Bombyx mori: one gene and its partner. The protein of the gene in region 1 binds, or shares a complex with, the protein of each later gene. Links are inferred from orthologs where the notes say so. Each region holds a gene or a part of one and is shown on either strand. Other genes may lie near its edges.

Evidence for each region.
Region 2: transmembrane protein 231 (region 1) and transmembrane protein 216 share a complex: the UniProt entries of both Homo sapiens proteins name them as parts of the tectonic-like complex. The link is inferred for Bombyx mori from reciprocal best matches to the Homo sapiens genes TMEM231 and TMEM216.

Annotation. Positions count from the first base shown.
Region 1 is NC_085110.1:12,598,691-12,602,932, reverse strand, and holds transmembrane protein 231, read right to left. Parts: upstream 3,055-4,242; 5' UTR 3,036-3,054; coding exon 2,897-3,035; exon of another isoform or gene 2,853-2,896; coding exon of another isoform or gene 2,819-2,852; intron 2,722-2,818; coding exon 2,552-2,721; intron 2,379-2,551; coding exon 2,250-2,378; exon of another isoform or gene 2,205-2,249; intron 2,110-2,204; coding exon 1,881-2,109; intron 1,231-1,880; coding exon 971-1,230; 3' UTR 834-970; downstream 1-833. Other genes in the region: mitochondrial import inner membrane translocase subunit Tim21, read left to right, coding at 85-267, 441-587. UniProt on the Homo sapiens protein: Transmembrane component of the tectonic-like complex, a complex localized at the transition zone of primary cilia and acting as a barrier that prevents diffusion of transmembrane proteins between the cilia and plasma membranes.
Region 2 is NC_085132.1:4,411,421-4,414,594, forward strand, and holds transmembrane protein 216, read right to left. Parts: upstream 1,757-3,174; 5' UTR 1,625-1,756; coding exon 1,381-1,624; intron 1,202-1,380; coding exon 1,008-1,201; 3' UTR 602-1,007; downstream 1-601. Other genes in the region: mRpS10 (mitochondrial ribosomal protein S10), read left to right, coding at 233-494. UniProt on the Homo sapiens protein: Part of the tectonic-like complex which is required for tissue-specific ciliogenesis and may regulate ciliary membrane composition.

The DNA of each region.
Region 1 (4,242 bases):
ATTAAAGTAAGTAATGAACAGGGGAAACAAACACTATTTAAAGTATTGTTTACCAAGTATTTATTAAATTATTGTCGATTGCAGGATCCTAGAGTAGAAGATGCTCTTGGTGCACCAATAAAAGGTTATGGAGAAGAAACAACTAGGAGAAGACGTACCCATGTCAGTCATGCAGTATATGAAAAAGATGGAGTGAAACATATGAGAATGAGATTCTATATTAAAGGGATAAGAAATAAAGGTGTTGTTGAACTTGATATGAAACAAGTAAGTTCTGTTTAAATAGAAATGTGTTTAACAACTTAAAAGTTCAAATAACACCATACATCTGAATAATTTGTATACACCTCATCAATTTCTTATAATCTCTGTTTAAAATTTTCTATTTTAATAAATTCATTTAAAATCTTTCCAATTCACCAGTACACTTGTTTTTTCAGAATGATTATGGAAACTATATGTGCAGATATTTGCTGGTACAACTTGATGACTACAGTGGAAAAACATTTATAATTGAGGACAACCGAGCTGAATTAGATAATACCAAACCTGATATCGCATTTCCAACCTTAACTCTCACTCAGTGATATAAAATTAACTATGTAACATGTAAATAGTAAAGTAGATATCGAATAAATGATTAGCAAAATAAAATTGTTTCGTTTCATATTATTATGTAAAGTTTTAGTTTAAAAAATAATAAATATAGTGAGCACTTTCATATTGAAATCTTTTAAATATATAGAATACTATACCTTCTTCTGACACCATAAGAATAGTTTTGGAATATGAATCTTATTAATTAAATTCTTTGAGCCAATGAAACTTAATGCTTATAATATCATTTTATTGCAAACATTAAAACATGTTTATCCTTATTAATAATTAAAGTGAATTTTACAGTGAAGACTAGAAATTGGCACAAATCAATTATTTCGCAGTACAATTTTATAGATCTTACATAAGTTCGTCATTCAAATGTTTTCCAAGATTGTACTTTCCATGACATGAGAAGTCGATTGGTAAATATAAATTCCTTAACTTTATTGAAGAACCAATGGAATATCACTACAAAAGAGAGATATTGAGGCCAAGCCCACTTAAACTCTTCTAGTATACTAGGAGTGTATCTTATTTGCATCTCTGGAATTCTTAGATGAACTTGAACAGTCATAGAATCTGTCTGGCCATTGTAGGTTCTAGAATTTATCGTTCTGACTTCTGTGGTAACTGAAAATAGTTTATTTTTTGGTTATGAATGTAGTTGAATAAATATGCTGTAGGTTTACTTATATCAGTGGTTACTGGACTCTGGTAACATTAGAACTTGAATGCTACTCTGCAGATCACATTAGGCTGACGTATCAATAAAGGCAAACCCACACTTCAAACTGAAATTAATGGCAGCAGCAGAACCACAGAAATAATAGCAGAACTGTATAACTGATTTGTAACTGGTATGGACTTTCAATGCGCCCGAATGGTATAGTAATTTGGGATAACCAGGAAGTTTAGATCTACTGTGGATAGATTATGAAAAATAATAGACAAACTATTATCAAGTAACTTTCTTTGGCCTATTATCTAGCTGTTGAAAGAATGAATACCTGATTAGTTTTGATCCAATGGACAGTGGAGCATTATGTTTTTTATTAAGTAACTTGAGTTTATTTGCCTTACTAAAGAAGGATTATCATTGATAATCAAATCTTTATTAACTCAGGATAAATGTTACAATTTTGTGTTAAAATTACTGTAGGTTTATGGCCTTCTGTCTGTGGCTGCACAACAATAGCCATTATTTTTGTCTTCAATGCTGTTACCAATATTAAAATATGAATAAGCACAAAATGTATATTTGTAAAAATAAATAATCTTACCTTCTCTATGAAAATAATCAGACAGATAATGATCAATAGACATGTAACTTTCCCATTTTTCAATTTCAAATAAAGATCTGTTATATTTCGTATCTTGATTAAACCATTCACAAGGTAAGTGGGTGGTTTGATAAAAATTTAGATCTCCATGAAAAATTAATTCTGATGGTGGTATTACAAACTCTTTGGTAATCAATGCCAAGCTCTGCATTTGTAAAGGGCATATTGTCTGCAAGAAGAAAACAAAAGGATTCTATTAAAGTATTTGTTCCATATTTAAAGCACCTATTTATAAAATATAAATAAACAGAAAAGATTTAGTACCTTTTTTTATTAAATATCTAAAATGTCAAAAATAGTTAAAAATACCTTCAGCTGAAAATCAAGAGATAAAATTAATAAAATAGAAGACACAGTTCTGTCTGGTGGTATATTTAGGTGAAATTTAATATACAGCTCATCCTTTTTGCCATCTCCAGTGAAATCATTTTCTTGAACCTGGAAATACATGTTTTTAATAATTTTATTCATCAAAAACTGTAGTTGGTCATGTTATCAGTATAAAATGTACTACACAGTGTATTTAGTCTTATTTCATAACAAACTCATTGTCTATATAGTTATGTAATTTGTATTTACACAGTACAATTCTTTCGATAAAAATTCATTACCTGCATTTCTGCACATGATTCAGAGCTTTCTTCATTATCATTACCAAACAATCCAATTTCTGTACAAAGTATGGGTTTACTGGGATCCTCAGTTTCGGCTATTAGTACATACTCATACGTAAAATGAACAGTTGGCTGTTCATAAAAACTGTGATATTTCACCCAGAGCCCTGTAAAAATACATATTTGTATTACGATCTTATATTTCGATATCTATTCGGTAATTACTGGCTATTTCAAATAATTTAATTTTAACGATAATAGGACCGTTTCTGTATACTGTTAAGTATTTTCTGGACATGGTTCACTCAGCTGATTTTAGCAAGGCTAAATTGGAGTTCTAACCTCTACTTTTCTGAGCTATAATAAAAGGCAGTATAATATTTAAGATAGACGTAAAAAGAGTAAAGAACATGGCTTTGGAAAGGAAGGTACTTTTATACTGTATTTCGACATTTGAACTAAACAATTTGTACAAGCTCATTTTAAAATATAAAATTTACAGTGTTTTCGGTGTACTAATATGCGTAAAATGTTAAATATCAATAGCATTGACCTGCAAAACAAACCGTTGCTAAGCAACGACTTTTTTAGGGCAGAGGGTTTTTCTGAATTATTTTACAATTAAATGCAAACTTTAAATTCCTGAATCAAAAATATATATGTACTCTAGAAGCGTTAAATTAAGGAATATAAAGAAATAATGATTCAACATCAACTGGTCAAAGGGCGAGCTATAGCTCTCGTTTACATATATAGAATTTTTCTACTCTTTGATTCTAGGATGGTTTATGATCATTTTAGCAATCATAAATCTTTACTGGTCGTGGAGCTTCGTGTGAGTCCATACTTACATCACCCTGCCTATTTCTACCGCGAAAAAGTAATGCATTCCAGTTTGAAGAGTGGGGCAGCCGTTATACTATAACATTGAGACATCAACCTCATATCTCAAGGAGGGTGGGACGCTATTAATGTCGTGATGTCTATGGGCTCCCGTAACCACTCAACTCCAGCTAAACAGTAAGCACGTTCACCAAATTATGAAAGATTAGATTTTTTCTGAGAACGGAGTCCAAAATTCTTCAATATTGATACGAGTTCTCTTCAGAGACACTCAGTAAGAAGTAGATCCGACCTTACGCTTCTAGAGTCAGAATAAATAGGTGTTTATCGTTTATTTTTAAAGAATAAAATATATATTTTATTATTGTAAAATTTTCTACATGCACCATAGCTTAATGTTAAGACGCCCAGGGTTGTGGTTGAAGGCATTTGTGTTGTCTATTGGCCTAAACGACCATTTAATCTTACGTGAACTCATTCATTCATCTACGAAAGTGAACTATCTTTTTCAGCAAGGATCCTGGCGTAGACAAAGGGAGGGAGGCGGGTTTGGTTCATAATGCCGGCCATTCAAACGGACACTTCGTTTCAAGGTGCATATGAATTAAGCTTTTCCGCCAATACAGTATTTAATATACTATTAAATATATACCTATTAGCTTTCTAAATGTTCCGGTACCCTAGTGAACTTTTATGTACTTTTAATATTTAAGTGCACTATGAAAGTCCCGCGTTTTGATGTTTTGAATTCACTGACATCTACTCACTGTAACTTATATTGGTATTATATTCTAATATTAACTCTCAATGACGGGTAATAAGATGGTCAATTTAATATGGAAAAT
Region 2 (3,174 bases), on another chromosome or scaffold:
GGTAGGACGGCCAATAGAATCGAAATTTATTGAGATTTCTATGGGCTCTGGTTATCACTTAAAACTACATGTACCTTATACCTGTACTAGTAATGAAATAATGAAATATAGGGAGATAGAGGCATTTGAAGATGATTTATTACAATTTAAAATTTTACCCTTCATATTAAAGATTTAAATTTAAGTTATTAGTGCTAAAAGAGATACTACTAGTTAGTTTTATTTTTTTCAGTTGGGCACTAAGGAAAGCAGAGAAAGAAAGGCACACACTTTTAAAATGTGTACACATTTACAAGAAACACAAAGTGCAGTATGAAATTCGTACATACTTCAGGTTTATACATATGCAGAGGCTCACTGGATCTACGTGCGACACATATTTGGAATATATCGAACGGAATCTGCCAGAAGGTTGTGCGTTGAAAGTTACAAAAATTGAATGTCAAAAGTTACCTGAACATTTAGTACCGCCTAAGAAAGAAAGCGAAGAGTGAATTGCCATTGTAATAATTTAGAATAAAAATAAATTAGTTAAATGTTATTTAGTTTAATACTTTATTTTTCACCAACTCTAATTTATAAATATTAAAAATCAATAAAATTAAATTAAATATATTTAATTAACAGACACATAAAGATCAAAAGCCAACTTTGAACATTAAAGTTAAAAAAACAGTCTTAATTTACATGTTGCTCTTGATTTTATTCAAAGCGGTATAATATAATAAGATGATCACAGTAATTCTAATGCAGTTTTCACAAAGGGGATTACTAATGTTACAAATGGCTAGAAACATAAAAATGCAGACTAGTAAATATAATGTTACCAGATTAACAACAAAGTAAGGAGAATCATAAGGCATGAGATTATATTTTTTCACATGTTTCTAACTTTTAGTAATCCTAGTTTACTACACAAGAGTAATTACAATGATCAAATTGAATTAATGCTATATTTAATAAAAATATGGAATGTTTGCAATATTTGAGGTTCAGGTTTTCATTATTTAATCAAATTGTTGATTTTTACATACAGTAAAAATAAATAAGATTGCAAAAGCAAACTCGAGAGCATGGAACATTAACATGACGGCACACCAGATGTATTCCAACCGAAGTATGTAAGTTTGATAAATTAGAAAATAACATACTCCTACAGCAGAGGGAATCGTCAATAGCACTGACAGAAAGACCGGTATTTCTGTAACAAAAACATTGTTAACATATTATGGTGAAAAGTAACATTGAACGAAACGAAAATAGTTTCTATTTTAATTTACTTAAGACACAAAATATTTTTTTGCGATTTAGTACATATTCCGTACAACAACGAATCTTGAAATATATTTTTGCAGAATATTGAATATATACGATACTTACTTTTGCTTGCTAAGTTTCCTCTACGCCCCAAAAAGATCCTAATCATCTCTACAAAGCATAGGGCGCTAAATATTCCGGCTTCTGTTAATAGAGCGTTTTCTGGATACGAAACATTTATAGCCTTCAATATCCCCATTGCGACTTCACAAACGATAAACATTCCTAAATAAAAACTGTTCAAATACAGTAATATCTCATAAGCCAAACTCGAATTAACGTTTGTTACTTTCGACATTTTTTCCATATTTTATAAAATTGTACGAATGTATTGAAAAGTTTCTAAATTGAGAGGAGGCTGTTTCGAGGTTTCGTATGTAATAAAAATCAATGTTTTTGTTTACACTTTTTGAAATTTGTAGTAGTAGTAGTTTTATTTTTTCAATTGGAAGGGCACAGGTATCATACCATACAGCCAAATCTTTTATATATTAAAAAAATTAAAAAATATATTATTAATATGAAATGAAAAGAAACGAAGTTGATTGATTTGGAACATTAATCAATTGGCAATTGGCAAATTAAATGAAATGATATGAGATAATATAGAATGAAATATATTGTCAGTAAAATGGTGGTTAATTACTGAGACTTTCTCAATGGAATTTTCGGAGAATCCTGAAAAGTAACGTCCAGCGACTTTTTTTCATTTTCCCACATTTGTGCACTTCCACAGATACTAAACAGTTAATAAATCACCGCTGTTACATATTTAAACCTAAAGAAACATTAGATATATAGACAATACTGAGATAATACATGAGATTGACAATACAACTACATGAGAAATACATGAGACTGACAATATAACTATATTGAGACCTTAGAACTTATATCTCAAGGTGGGTGGCGCATTTACGTTGTAGATGTGGATAGTCGTAGATAGATTATGGGCTCCAGTAACCACTTAACTCCAGGTGGGCTGTGAACTCGTTCACCCATCTAAGCTATAAATAAAAAAAAGCTCTTTGCTATATTATAGCGCCCAGTAAATATTTGACTACTACAAGGCTTTTTTCTGTGTTATTTACACTAAAACTGTGTTTTTATTTAGAGAAGTCTAAAAGCTCACGGTTCGTCTGGTGTAAAGTGGATACCAAACACCAAACATCATAAGAATAATGGCGAACCCACCTTTAGACATGATGTCAGAGTTTCAATTTTATTATATAACAGCTGATCCATCCTTCAAATGCATAACTGCTTTGCGGTAGAAATGGGCAGGATCATTATTATATCTACTCATACGGGCTTCCAATACGTCCTACTACCTGTAACCTACCAGTAAATTATCAATATTTTTATTGCTTCGAGATGGACAGACTAACTTCAACCCGACTCTTCATACTGGAACACCTTACTGGCTTGCGACAGATATAGCTATACAATACGCTTTGAGAACAATAAATGCGGTTTGATGAATACAGTATGCTGGTTAAGAAATCGCATCTCGGCCTCAAATAGTGCTTTAAGACAAAAAAAGAAATGGTCATTTATAGTTTATTATTTAATTTAATTTTATAAATACCTAACACTTTTTCACTTTTTTTTTAATTAACAAATTTAATCAGTATTTTATACGGGTCACTCACATTCACTCGAATACCCAAACCCGCAAGTGTAGGACGACATTTGCAAATGAATAAGCAAAGTTTTCGCTGCATTTGTGGTTTTCCAAGCTGTGTCGGTTTTTTAACAGACATCAAAGCGCGCGAACCGCGATCCTTCGCGAAGCCTCCCACACATTCGTGTGACCAGTTGCGCCCAGGATTGCGAAGGTAGCGGACGTTTCGCTAT